3 linked regions of the Arabidopsis thaliana genome follow. The protein of the gene in region 1 interacts with the protein of each later gene in a pairwise test. Each region holds a gene or a part of one and is shown on either strand. Other genes may lie near its edges.

Evidence for each region. The genes of interacting proteins can lie anywhere in the genome.
Region 2: the proteins of AT4G01920 (region 1) and AT3G48210 interact in a two-hybrid assay, tested with the Arabidopsis thaliana proteins (one large-scale study listed by BioGRID).
Region 3: the proteins of AT4G01920 (region 1) and AT4G15700 interact in a two-hybrid assay, tested with the Arabidopsis thaliana proteins (one large-scale study listed by BioGRID).

Annotation. Positions count from the first base shown.
Region 1 is NC_003075.7:827,712-833,101, forward strand, and holds AT4G01920 (Cysteine/Histidine-rich C1 domain family protein), read right to left. Parts: upstream 3,578-5,390; 5' UTR 3,369-3,577; coding exon 1,392-3,368; 3' UTR 1,115-1,391; downstream 1-1,114. Other genes in the region: AT4G01915 (uncharacterized protein), read left to right, coding at 362-417, 501-586.
Region 2 is NC_003074.8:17,847,184-17,852,713, forward strand, and holds AT3G48210 (kinetochore protein), read left to right. Parts: upstream 1-2,167; 5' UTR 2,168-2,251; coding exon 2,252-2,435; intron 2,436-2,603; coding exon 2,604-2,669; intron 2,670-2,815; coding exon 2,816-2,962; intron 2,963-3,129; coding exon 3,130-3,243; intron 3,244-3,336; coding exon 3,337-3,426; intron 3,427-3,534; coding exon 3,535-3,657; intron 3,658-3,775; coding exon 3,776-3,987; intron 3,988-4,201; coding exon 4,202-4,213; 3' UTR 4,214-4,602; downstream 4,603-5,530. Other genes in the region: AT3G48209 (Plant thionin family protein), read left to right, coding at 498-701; AT3G48220 (F-box protein), read right to left, coding at 5,101-5,530. UniProt on the Arabidopsis thaliana protein: Acts as a component of the essential kinetochore-associated NDC80 complex, which is required for chromosome segregation and spindle checkpoint activity to ensure proper cell division.
Region 3 is NC_003075.7:8,935,501-8,939,052, forward strand, and holds AT4G15700 (Thioredoxin superfamily protein), read left to right. Parts: upstream 1-1,857; 5' UTR 1,858-2,044; coding exon 2,045-2,353; 3' UTR 2,354-2,624; downstream 2,625-3,552.

The DNA of each region.
Region 1 (5,390 bases):
GCTCTTGTGAGTATGTATTGTTGTGTAGAAGTATAACTATTTTGGGGACAGTGGAAGTGAAACTCTATATGGTTTGGTGAATGAAACAGAGCACTGGTGTTGTTCTTAGAGCTAAGTTCTGAAATCTACAAAGCTGGAGTTTCAGACAACATAGAAGCTTACATTCTATTTGCCTTAGCAGAATTTATTTGGTTCTCTTTGGATAAACTTGGATTGGCTTCACCATTGCCACTCTCCTTGGTGTCGCCTGTCCTTTAGCCGAAATCTTCATAATGCAGTAAGTAAACTGCGCGCTTCAACAACCATCTCTTTGTTTTTTATCAGAAGTCAGTCTAAAGATTGTCATAACCTGGCTTAACAGATTCTTCCATCTGTGGTACTATATATCCAGAAGCAAACATAGAGATCTTTGGCCAGGTAATAAGTGTTTATACAGACATATTCAAACAAAAACATACACATGAATACTCTGTTTCTTTTTGTTTTGTTTTCTGGTGAAGGGATTGGTTACGTGGACGACAACGTGCTACTTCGTCTACACACAGAACTTGCTACAATGGCGTCTTCAAAGCATTGTAGTTTCTGAATACCAGATGATCTGAAAGAAACAGTCATGTGTATGCTTTGAAGACGCCATTGCCCAAGACTTCTTGCAACAAGGGTTTACTTTATTACTAATGATCTGAAACAGAATGCACATTGACATTATGCTTAGGGAATCTTCTTGAATGTCTATCATGGTTATAGTTTGCTCTTCAAAAAATGTCAATCTTAGTACTGGTGGGAATGATGATGACACAACATTCTTGAGTTAAGAAGTTCTCTTTGATCAGTTGGGTGAATTTCTATGGCATCCCATCTGAAACATTAGCGTTCAATGGTACCTCCATAACCAGTAGCATGGCAGAATGTTCTATACAACGGCGTAAGTAAGATCCTTCATTCCAAAGACAAGGCATAACACGTTTGAAACAGCTGATCATATCAAATTAAAATTCCAAGATTCTTAGATAACTAATACATGCCATAAGTACCATTAAATCAACTTCTTAGAATGGAAATGAATTTGTAAAAGAAATGGTACAAGAAATCTAAAAGAAAAGCCTACTCGCTAAACATCCGAGGGTCCAAGTATCTTCAAGATGATAGGAAAAATGCAACGCAACTCACACCAGATGCAAAATGGACGAGATAAACTATTATTGAGCACCACCTCATATGATATATGTTACAACACACACATTGTATATGGAGTTTGGTGCCAGAAAATTCTTAGATATTTAATACATTAAGGAAATCAACTTATAAAGGAAATGAACTCGTAAGAAAGAAAAAAAATAACATTACAAGAAAAACCTCGACTCGCTAAACATCTTGCTTCATTTTGGGCTTTAACGGTCTGTATATCTACACTCTGCACATTCAAGAGAGCAGGAGTATTCATTCGTGGCTCCAAGTGTCTTCAAGATGATAGGAAAAATACAATGCATCTTACACCAGCTGCAAAATGGACGAGATATACTATTATTGAGCACCACCTCATATGAAGTGCCCTCAATTTTTATTGTGCTTCTTCGCATGAGACTTGAAAGGTCTCCAAGCACACACTTTGTATGCAAACTAGCCTGATGATCTTTACACGTATAGAACCATGTATGTGGATTTGTTTCTTTTTCACAAATGTCACACCAATATTTACCACTTGCCTTTTCGCCATAGCATAGTGAGAGAGGATGATCATGAACTCTATGCTTTACCATTTGTGGTAAAGTGGCGCATCCAAAGCATAATAAAAATCCACAATTATCTTCAATGCAACTAAGCACAAAGTCCTGCTCCATGTTGCAACCAGTGCACCATTGTACTTCGTCTGATGGAAAGTAATATAAGGGATGATTAGGATGACTTGGATGGATATGTGGCTCAGAAATTGAAATGCACCGAACATCGAATGCCTTATTCCCATGCTGGTACTTGAAACCATTGGACAATCTATCACAAGCATAACACCTAAAGCCTTCATCCTTGTTTGTAACCAACGTAAGACGTTCATTGTGTAGCACATGCCATTTCATTCTAAGAAATCCAGCGCAGTTTTGGTGGAGAATGAAGTTACAATCCATACAGCCGTAGAAAGACTGGAGACAGATGGGATGGGTGCATGCCTTGCACCGCTTGTTGTCATCACATAGAACACCATTAACGTTGAGTCTTAGGTAATGCTCTTTGTGACTAAAATGTTGTATTGTGTTTTCATCTATCACCACATATGGCTCTATATCTTCTGTTTCTTCGGGTAATCCTTCAAGTTCTTTCCCATTCCACACATCTTTTCTAGTAGCACATTTTGAATGAACAACATAGCCATGACACCTCTGACAAGAAAAACCTCCATAAGACCAGTCCACCTTTTTGCGACAAACTCCACATACAGAATTCACAACACCAAGAACAGAAGTTCGAGAAACACGGTGATCATGCCGGTTAATGTTGATGAGGCGTGGAAGGCCAAGACAGTCTTGATGGATCATGAAACCACATTGAAAACATACGTAAGGGCTACGATCTCCCTTCAGCCCGCAAGCATTGCATGTAAAAGAATCGAGTTTTGGGAGAAGGGTGAGTTGGTGATCATGAGCTTTCAAATTCAGAAGAGATTGTTGTGGTGGGCGCAAAACACAAACCTTGTCCAAGGTAAAGTTACACGGAGAACAATGGAAAAAAAATGTTTCATCAATCTTTCTTGCGCAAAGACGACATTTCCCATCAGAATAATCCGGTAACTGACCCTTTGCGTAGAGTTTAAGAGGGTGTAAAGAGTGGTAAGAATGGTTTACCTCTAAACGGAGTTCTAGTTCGGGCGGATACCATACGCAATCCACATGAAAGGATAAATCACATTCATGACAATTGTAAGGAAACTCATTACCAATAATCTTGCAACATTTAGCACATATACATTGCTTGATCCACTTCTTGAGAAGGGTAAGCCTGTGGTGATGCGTCTTGGAAATGTCAATAACCTCTGGTGGTGGATACTTTGAGCAGTATAAATCCATGTCGAAGTCACATAGATCACAACGATAGAATATTGGGCACATCCTTCCACACAAATTGCAGAAATTAGTAGGTCTTTCAGGTCTTAGCAGCTGAAGAGTGTGCTTGGGGTGAGATGGATGCTTGATATATTCGGAGGGCTCGTCAGCACAATTTTTTCGGACGAAAAAATCGCAGGTTTTGCAGTAGTATCCATCACTGATAGCTTCAAAGCGTCCACAGCAACCACAGCAAGGACCTCTTTTCAGATTTTTCCAAGGCATCATAAGATGCTCGTGGATCAACGGCATTAACACTCCCTTAGAATCCATGGTCGTTTACTAAGAGATTTTGAAGAAGAAGAAGTTGGATATGAAATCTCAAAGCTAAGTTTCTTTCACGTTTCTCTCTCTCTCTCAAAAGTCTTCTCTCTTTAATTTCAACGATGCTCTTATGAAAAAGAAGATTGGATCTGAAATCTCAAAGCTAAGCTCCTTTCTCTCTCAAAAGTCTTCTCTGCGTTAATCTCAAATCCTCAACGATGCCCTTACAAAATTATTTTTTTATTAGACTTTTGGTTTTATTGGTCTTTCATTAACAATAAAAAATAATTAGGCCCAAAACCCGCACCGTGCCGGTTTTTTCATGCATTTTGTTAGTTATAATAATTAATAATTTACATCAACTGAATTAATTTTATAAACAATCGTTTTGGTGTTTTTTTCTATGATTATCATTTTGATGTATCTTCTAACTCTCAAGTAAATGATTCATTCTATTTATTATGTTTATTTATTTATTTTTAGTTACAATGTTTAATATTTATTTACAATTACTTAACTTAGATATACAAAAAAATAAATTATTATCTTTAAAGTATTTTAAGGGTTTTGTGCAAAAACCACTATACCTCATCCATTTTTGCAACTTCAACCTCTACCTCCATCAAATACAGATTAATCATTAACAATATAAAATAATATGCATTATAACCCTCTTTTGCCTTTTTTTTTGTTACCAACAATTTTGTAAAATATCGATAATAATATGTTAAATTAAAACTTTCGCGAAGAAGAATTTAACTTTACCTTCAAAATTTTAAAAATCTAATGTATATAACCGTAAAAACGTTTACAATATATATATATATATAAAGATCATATTTTGTATTATTTTAGACTTCATAAAAATAATCTGCATTTATTGGAGGTAGAAAATAAAGTTGCAAAATGGATGAGTTAGCACAAAACCTTATTTAAAAGTAAACGGAAAAATAGTTTTACAATATCAATCATTAGTATTATTTTATTAAAATGAACCACTAGTTTAAAATAGTCAATTTTTAATTCTTTAGTCGTATCAATTAGCACTATTTATATAAAAAATGAAAATGAAAGAAATCTAAAAACATTGGATTCGGATCCATTTTTAAACTCTGAACTATTTTTTTATGAGCTGGATATCTCAATTATTTTTTAATTCACTAGATCTTGGAATTAATATTCATATTAACGTTTGAAACAGCTAGATCGTCAAAGTCAAAATTGCAACATTCATAGATAAATAATACATGAAGGAAATCAACTTATTATAATGGAAATGAACATGTAAAAGAAATGGTACAAGAAATCTAAAAGAAAAGCCCACTCTCTGGACATCTTGATTCATATGCATTACATAGCGCAATAACCAGTAGTTGGCATTATGTTCAATACAACGGCGTAAGTAAAGATCCTTCATTCCAAAGACAAGGCATAATTGTTTGAAACAGCTGATCATATCAAATTAAAATTGCAAGTTTCTTAGATCTAATTTCTTTTTTTTTTCTTTTCAAAAGAAAGACACAAATCTTGGCTTGCCTTAAAACGTGTGTACATGTTGATAAAACATTTTCATTTCGGTCTCTAGATTCTGCGAATAATAATGAATGGAGTCTGTGTTTGGTTTCATGTTGAATCAATCAAGATGTGTTTTTAACTGTAAATGAATTATGCAGAAAACATCTGTCCTGGTTCTCAGACATCGGAACTCTGTTCCTAATAAAAACTGAAGTCCCTGTTTTTATGTTAGTAATCTGAAACAACAATTGTTTGAAGACGCCATTGCCAAGATTTCTTGCAACAATGGTTTACTTTCTTACTATTTCTAATGATCCTGAAACAGACTATACAATACGTTGAGAAAGAAGCGAAAAGCTGACAATCATGATAATGCAAGACTGATAGTATTGTGTTGTTCATTTTCAAGGTGAAATTTTGTAGAAAACGAATGTCAGAAAGCATTTGAAACAGCAAGATCGTATCAAACTAAAATTGCAAGATTCTTAGATAAATAATACATTAAGGAAATCAACT
Region 2 (5,530 bases), on another chromosome or scaffold:
GTAATCAATTAAAACCCACATCCATCAATCATCATTACCTAAAATTTGCTAAATTAAACTTCAACTGTTTCTCCATTTTGTTTGCCGCCAGGCTACGCTATTGAACTTCAATTGTCCAGTTAGATTTGTTTCTCTTCTAGCATAATCTCATGCATGTACATTTATATATGTGTACTCTGGCAACTGACTTTTTTTCTTCTTTCTAACCTTCAATATAAATATTATATGAAACTTGAAAGTAATTATATATATCAAAAGAAATCTAATTAGAACCATTATAAGTAATAAAGAAAAATGTTGACAAAAACAAACTTGCAAAAGTAATAAAGAAAATTTTAATATTTTTAATTATAGTCTAGTCAAACTTTAAATTAATGATTTTAACTTTTCTGGACATTAGTTTTATATATACTACACACACACCTATGACAAAAAAGACATGTATACGTAAACATACACTTACAGGGAAAAAATTAAAGGAAAGAAACTAAAAAAAAATGGAGATGAAGAAATGTAGTATGATCATGATGATAATGATGATGGTGGTGATGGCATCCATACGAGGAGGAGAAGCAATTATAATAAGAACAACATGCAAGCAAATGTGCATCGACCAATGTGGTGGCCGCATCACTGTCCCTGAGACCCCTTGTCTCCGTAAATGTCTTCACGAAAAATGTGGCTTTCCAGCTCCTCCGTAATAATTCGTAACCTCGTATATATTTACGTATATTGATCAAGTATACCTTTTAATTTGTGTTGACTAATAATTTATATTTATCGCGACATTGCAGGATGGAGGCTGTAGGAATGGAAAACCTCATAGGATAGATCCTCATATCCTCAGTTTACTTTTCATAAGTTATTGTTGTGGAAGGAAAGAATTACAATAATTAAGAGTAATGAACAAAAACTCAGTTTACTTTTCATAAGAAATTTTGATGTGTACAATGATTTTTTCCTATGATCATAAAGATTTCCGAGGCCAAAATTAGGGTCAACATTCATTCATATTGGATTTGAACCTTATTTTGATCCTTATAAAGACTTTCTTCGATCGATTTACTTCATCCATATTTTATGGCCCTTTCTCCTTCGACAACAACGCATTAATTCTCAGGACGGGTGCGTTGCAATGTAAAAAGTTCTTTCGAAATATTTCATCCGATTAGTTTTCCTCAAAAGTATTAGTTTCAATTAAATTAAAGATAATAGCCTAATTATAAGATAATAGCTTAATTATAAAGCCAGCCAGATTACTTCAAGTTGAAGTAATCAAGCAAACTATCTAACACTGATAATTCGTTTAAGCTCCGATGCTATATATCTAGCACATGGTTAATGCTATAACAAGTTAACACCCTCTGCATGGTCCAATATCTATAAAAATTCTAAACAGAACAAATTAATGTACAAACACAGAACAAAATAATGTACAAAACACATTTTTGTCCCTTTTGCTTACTTACACAGTAAACTCATTGTCTTATCTACTCATTACAGGTTTTATTGAATTAATTATCAAAAACATACGCACCCATTTCTACTGATATATAGTGAAAATACTCTAATTTATTATTTTAAAAAAAAAAACACTTTGCAGGTCTAAAGTGAGCTAGGGACGTGAAAAAACTGAAAATACATATTGAAACTAGACGAAGGAATTGTTATGTTCAATATGTATTTAGTGTTAATTAAAAGACTAGTTGCTTGAAGGAAGAGAAGACATGCAATGATGCAATGCAGAAAACGTAGTTAATGCATTAAAAGAGTCTTTGACTCTCTAAAGTGTAACCGTAGTATTCGGTTTTGTCAGCTCCTTCGGCTAACTAATTAAAATCCTAACGGTTCAATTTTCAACCTTTCACACACTATTCAATATTACTATTTTCCGAAAAATTGGTATGATAAAAATAATATTATTGTAACTATATTGTAAGTAAGGGTTTTGATTTAGAGCGATTAAAAATGTTATAAATCAAAATAGTGATTGATGCCAAACGCGTATTAAATCAAACGTTTGCCGATGACTGAACTACTTTCGGTAAACGAGAAACCAGACAAATGGGCCTGTCTCAGAATAGCCTTTTAAGGAGCCCAATAAATTTGGACGTAGCACGATATGAAAACGCCATCGTTTTAAAGTTCTCATCACGATGGTTCGCGTTTTGAAGCATATTTTCGAAACTCGAATCAAAATTCAAATGGCGGGCTAAACTTCGATTCAGTCTCTCTCTTTCTCTCTTTGGTGATGGAACAAATTAGCAACATCGCTGGTGGAGACACAACGAAAGAGACTATGGCGTCTCTGGGTCTCATCTGTGAGAAAGATATTCATGAACAGCGTCTTAAAATCGATTCTTTCATCGCTTCTCCTTTCCGGAGATCGATGAACTCTTTAGTGGAGCGAGCTCAAGCCACTGCTCAAAGCCAAGGTAAAATTCAAAATTCGCATAGTACCACTCAGTTCCGTATGACCCAGATCGTAAATTTCACACTTTTTTACGGTTTAGGCTCTGTCTCTCTGAAATTAGGGTTTTAAAATTTCGACATCAGACTGGTAAAATTGAGCGGTTCTGTGAAATGTTTCTTTGATTTTACAGTGGAACTAATGAATTTGAAAGCGGATCTGAGAGAAGCAGAGGATGAGCTAGTTAAAGTGTTGGCAGGTATTATTACCTCAAAAGCTTGAAACTTTGAACTTAGTTTCTTAAATCATAAGATTCTCCTTGGTGTTATTTTCATGCTTACATACATTGTTTTGCTGAGTTTGGATATCTTACTGTCTTTGGGATGTTATATGTTTGATGTTTAGTGAAAACCCGTAAAGAGGCACGGCAAATGGGGATAAGAGATTCCATTTCTGCAACACAATCTAGGATTGAAGTACTTAGAAGAAATTTGCAGCTACAGAAGTCAAAGAAGGATGATTCTGTGAGAATTATCTCCCAACAGTTGCAAGGTATCGTTATATAATTCTGAAGTTCATTATACATACAAGTTTCATGAGTCAGCTACATGCTTTGGGATTTTGTAAAGTGAAGATATCTATAAAAAGTACTCTGCTTGTTTCAATAAGAGATCACATGAATCACTGAAGACCAAGCTAACATATTTCTTCCAATAAAGCCTTGTCAAAATCGAAGGACAACGCTGGTAAAGTCACCGAAGACAAAGCAGATATTCATGAAGCAATCTCTTGGTATAATCATGCTCTCGGTTTTCACGTTGAAGCTGGACATGGTAATAGAGACATTTTGAGTTTGTAACAATCTTAGTTCTATATTACTAAACCTTAGCCCTAAAAGAGCTTTGTTGTTTTAACTTCTCTTACAGGAGTTAAATTCACATTCACCAACATTGATGCAAAAAGGCCGACCCGCGAATTTTCGTTCACAGTTCACTATGGAAATGACATCTACACACGTGAGTATATATATGTCTTCTTGAAGCAAGCATCAACTACATTATAATGTTTACAAAAAAACCTAGTAATATGAACTGTTTACAGTCGTTTACTTATATGATCATCAGTATTGGATAGCGATCTGCAATTGGATTACATCAACGAGATGGTTCAAGAATTGAATAAAACCAATGACCTTTTCAGATTTGTTCGTCTGATGAGGGAGCAGTTTCTGAAATCCACTTTATCTGGTAAATTGTCTCAAGCCTATCCTTTTATAACCTCTATCTCCATAAGTGAGAAATCTTATTTTCGATATATATAAAAGTTGAATATGACCAAGACTTGTGTTTTATTGGATTTTGTCAGAGCTGCCAACACATTCAGGACAACTGCAACAGGAAACGTCTGCCATATCTGCTTCAGCTCCAGCTATATCATTTTCCACTGATACAAACATGTCAACTCCAGAAAACAAAAGATCTAAGGTTCAAGTGAATCGGCGACAAAAAAGAGGTAGCGAATCACCACTCCTAGCTCCTGTATCCACATCTGCCACTCGCCGTTCTTCTCGCTTTAAGGTACTGGATACTCATTGTGTTCTTAAATGTTACAACACCAAACCAAATTCAAAATATTTGTTAGATACTATAGTTTCCAAAAGTAGGATACCAGAACCTATTTGCATAACAACTGGACATAATAATGTTCTATCTGATTAATAATACTTAACTGATCACATGGAGCCTATAGTATTTAACATACAACTTATATAGCAACTCTAACTTGTTACAGGGTAAGAAATGAAGGTGGAGCTCTGTTTTCCTTTTCACAAGCATCAAGGAATAAACTTAAGCGTAGATGATGCTGCGGAACTTTCGACAACAACAGATTGTTGTTTGAAATTCCTATAAATATTAGAATGTCATTGTAATCACGCTTATTGACAATGTTGATTTCTTTACTAGTGTGGATGCTATGCTTATACACCAATCGATGATGGAGCTTGTGGGACTAGATTTTAATCGATGTAATCTCGCGCTTCTCTATTTCTAGATTTCGTTAGCTAATGGATGCTTGTCTAGCTTCATTAAGATTGCGCATTAGAGATAATGATGGATACTTGAGCCATAGATTGTGCATTAGAGATGTACAGTTTATGCAATTTTAAAACTAAAAATATAGCCACAACCATATTTTCTATCTTAAATTAGACAAGAAAACAAATCAAACACCATTCTCCAACTCGTTGTTCCTCTTGAAACGACTCTTCACCTCGCTCATGAAGGCGAAGAAGGGATTTGGTGTAGCCAACGCGGGAGAACGAACATGGAAAAGTATAAGTGATAAAGGTCTTCCAACATGTTACAATCCCCAGCAAAACTCAGAGTTTGATAATCTTTGCAACATTCCAAGCTGTTGTGAAGCCCGAACTTGTCTTTACGCAAATTAGTAGACCCCAAACATGAATGCATCTTGCACCACATGTACATTGTATTAGCATCAAAAGGGTTTATTGCCAGCGGAATGTAATCAAAACCAGTCTCACTACAAGCTAGAGATATTTCAGATACTATTTCCCATTCCCGGCTCTTTAGCCTCCATACACGTAACTTATGCTCTACATGTGCATCATCTTTGTCTTGGGAGAAGATGTTCATGTACATGATATATCCTTGAGATGTTGTGCAAACTCATTTTAAATTTGGTGGTTTCGTTCCACCGTCAGGGAAAGGTGTAACTTGGCATCGATCAGATTCCGTGCCAGTCGCGTAGAAATCATGGAACACAACAACCTCTCCATAGTCGTTGTTGTAGCCTATCCAGTAAAGGTTTCCATACAAGCTAACAGGGTTGTAATCTATCAGACCAGACAAAGTGAGATGAGATTGGAGGGTTTTGAAACTCCATAACCCTGTCTCGGATGAATATATCAGTAAACTTATGACATCGTCCAAGTTACTTGTATCCATCAAAACAACTTTGTAACCTAAAACGACGTGATCCTCAAGTTTTGTGACAAGCCCAGAGGTTAAAAAATAACCAACTGTTGGAGGAGGCTGAGGGATTTCGACACATTGTCTTGAGATCGGATTAGCCACATAGTAAGTTAGTAATTTGTTG
Region 3 (3,552 bases), 8.1 Mb from region 1:
AAAATTCTTACACTAATAAGGGTTTGTTACAAGAAAAAAAAAGTTTATCTTAGGATTTAAATGTTAGGATCTGATGTTATTTACTTATTTAACTAGTTACAAGTAAAACTTTTGCTGCGGGCCTGCGGCTTTCGTAAATTAGTGATATGATCATATGAATGAAGCAGATCTGTGTCATCTGTCTATCTTTTTTTTTTTTAAACAATCTATCTTTAATTAAAGAAAATTTTGAATAGATGTAAACTAAATATTAAATTCTTCTCTATCCATTTAAGAAAGTTGTGGGCGTTATTGTTCAACATCATGGTAGAAAATGACGCTACTAACCATTAAAACAACAAAGTGTGTAAAGAATTGGATTCTACCATAAGAGGAACACGTTGCATTGTTACATATATTCCATGCTCTAGGACGGTACGGGCAAGTTGCAGAATAAGATGTGATTTGGCATATTACATAATGTATGTGTCGGTACATGAATCACGTACACTGAAAATGATGATAACCTTGTATTGTGATGTAACAATAAGTGACTCTTGAGATCGAAATGGGCCACCATTAATACTATTTTGAAGAGAAAAACAAAAAAAAAACTAATATTTTACATTTTTTGTATATTTTTGGTTTTAGGATATATATATACGTGGTTGCTTCACTATCATACTATCATATCCATCTTGTTGGGCACGAGCTTGAATTTCTAGCAATCTTATTCATCGAATAGGGAATAAAGTTCAATTTTGTTTTATTCTTTGACATTGCAAGATTCGATTTCATGCATGACGGTAAGGCTAAAACGGAACCACAAAGTTTGCCTTTTTCTCTCAAGTGGTTATAAAAAAACAATTCTTGAGATATTATCTCATACTCTCTCGAGTTTTCTCAAACACTGAAGCTTGCAACTCTTTTTGGCGTATCTAAAACTATGTCCAAGGCGTATCTAAAACTATGTCCAAGCTATCCAATGATTTTTACCCGATTTTCAGCAGAACACATACACTATGAAATACTATAAAGTATGATTGAAAGCATATTAGATATCGAAATATTTTTCCATATATCATGTACACATAACCGTTACAAAAAATAATTGCTATATTATTAATAATTTCTTATTAGACTCAAAAATACTGTAAGAAATATTTCAATTAATTTTGAATACTATATTAGTATAGTACACGAAATCCGATAATTTCAATTAACGACGACTTCACGATAACATGAAATCTTTTCGTATATAGGCGTCAAGACATTTATATGTCGATAATGTGTTGGATATTTTTGACGCATTCCTGACGACATATTTAGATTGAAAGTAACATTCTCAAAACCAAAAATTATTATCACAAGCCTAAATGAGCCAAAATGAAATCCGGAGTAAACACTATTAGCAATTTTCAACTTTATTTGAAACTAAAAACATATTTCGGAATTTTGAAATTTTATAAGTCAAACGAGTTTAGCAGAGATAAAACTCATTTCTGCTTTTTATCAGTGGTTTTCACAATGAAGGCCGTACTAATGAAACATGACATTATTCGTCCGTATCAATTATTCCTCATATATATCAAAGAGAGATTTTGTTTTCTGTACGTTTTACCAAATTAGTTGATAGTTTTATTCTTTAGCTGCAAGAGGGAAAAAGACTCAAAGAGTCAAGACGTGTGAACCGATAATATCCTCAGATTCTTTCGGAATACTTCGACTATCTTAATTTTCATCATTTAAAATTGTGTTCTTTTATTTCTTTACTTACAATTTGAGATATTTCATATTTGTGCTAAAGTTGATTCTCGTAGAAAAAGGCAACGTAATAAGAAAGGTTACGTACTTTAGAAAGCTATATATAAAGGACCTTACCCACTTCACTCCATCAAACACAAAAACACAGAGTCACTTCTCATTTTCACCCAAATATATCAATAATCTCTCTATAAGTTATCTAGTTTTCCCATATTCATCTCTAATCTAGCATTTTGACCAAACACACCTATTTTTCTCCTTTGCAAGACAGTTTTCAAATATCTATCACGTTATATTACTAATGGAGAATCTACAAAAGATGATCTCCGAGAAGTCGGTAGTGATCTTTAGCAAGAACTCTTGCTGCATGTCTCACACAATCAAGACTCTCTTCTTAGACCTTGGCGTGAACCCGACGATCTATGAACTCGATGAGATTAGCAGAGGAAAGGAGATAGAGCATGCATTGGCTCAGCTCGGGTGCAGCCCGACAGTGCCAGTGGTGTTCATAGGAGGGCAGCTTGTTGGTGGAGCCAATCAAGTCATGAGTCTCCATCTCAACCGCTCCCTTGTTCCAATGCTTAAGCGCGCTGGAGCTTTATGGCTTTGACTTCAAAATAAATGGAATTGCAAATGACTTAGGTTCTGAGAAACTTATTAATGTGAACAAAAAAAGGTAAAAAAAACATATACAAAAATGTATGTATGAGTTTATTACTATATATGTCTATCTATCTAAGTTTTCAAAAGATAGATTATGCGGTTACCTATTTTGTAAACATGCATCTAAGAGATATTTATATTTTATAATAAAAATCAGCAACATTTGGATTTCTCCTTTTTCCCAATTCATATTTATATAATTTTGTATACATATATGCATCTAGAAATGAATACACGTGCACTGAATATAGATGATTTTTTATGGTGTAAAGGAAAAAAGAAAGAATATATAACTATTTATGCAGAACATGCGCCAAGACATAATAATTAATTTAAAAATTTGAAGAAGGCATATTTTATAGGCTAAGAATATTGTATTTGTATCTGCCACAAATTAAAAAGCGATGACGAGTCTGAATCGTGTGTAATGTCAAGCCTTAACTTTTCAAACGAAATTCTTACAATGATATGCAACTGTTAATAAATGTTAGGCGTGATTGTCAACTGAATTAGCTAGTTACAACTTACAAGTGTAAAAATACAGGAGATTGCGTAAATTTGAGATATGGATCTTAGAACAACTCTATAATCAATTAAAGAAATTTAGAATTAAGGTAAATCAATCATTAAATTCTTCACTGTCTATCTACAGAAACATTGTTGAACATCATGATAAAAAATGACGTTTCTAACCATTAAAATAACAAAGTGTGTAAGGAATTGGATTCTGCCATATAAGGAAAATCTTTGCATTGTTACATATATTCCAATAATAGGACAGTACGAGCCAGTTGCGGAACTTGATGCGAATAGGCATCTTACATACATATAATGTGTCGGTACGTGAATCACGTAATGTTCAAATGATGATAACCTTGTATTGTGATATAAGAATAACGGCTCTTGAGATCAAAATTGGGCCACCAATAATCTTTTAGGAAGGAAGGAATGCAAAACTATGGCTTTAAAATTTTGTTGAGCCCCACGTGGCTGCTTCACTAATCAATCTTCTTGGCCACAAGCTTGAGATTTCAGAATTTCGTGGAATTGAGGATAAAGCTCTCTTTGATTCTTGATTCTTAACATTGTAAGATTCGATTTCATTCATGACGATAAGGCTAGAACGGAACCACATAGTTTTCCTTT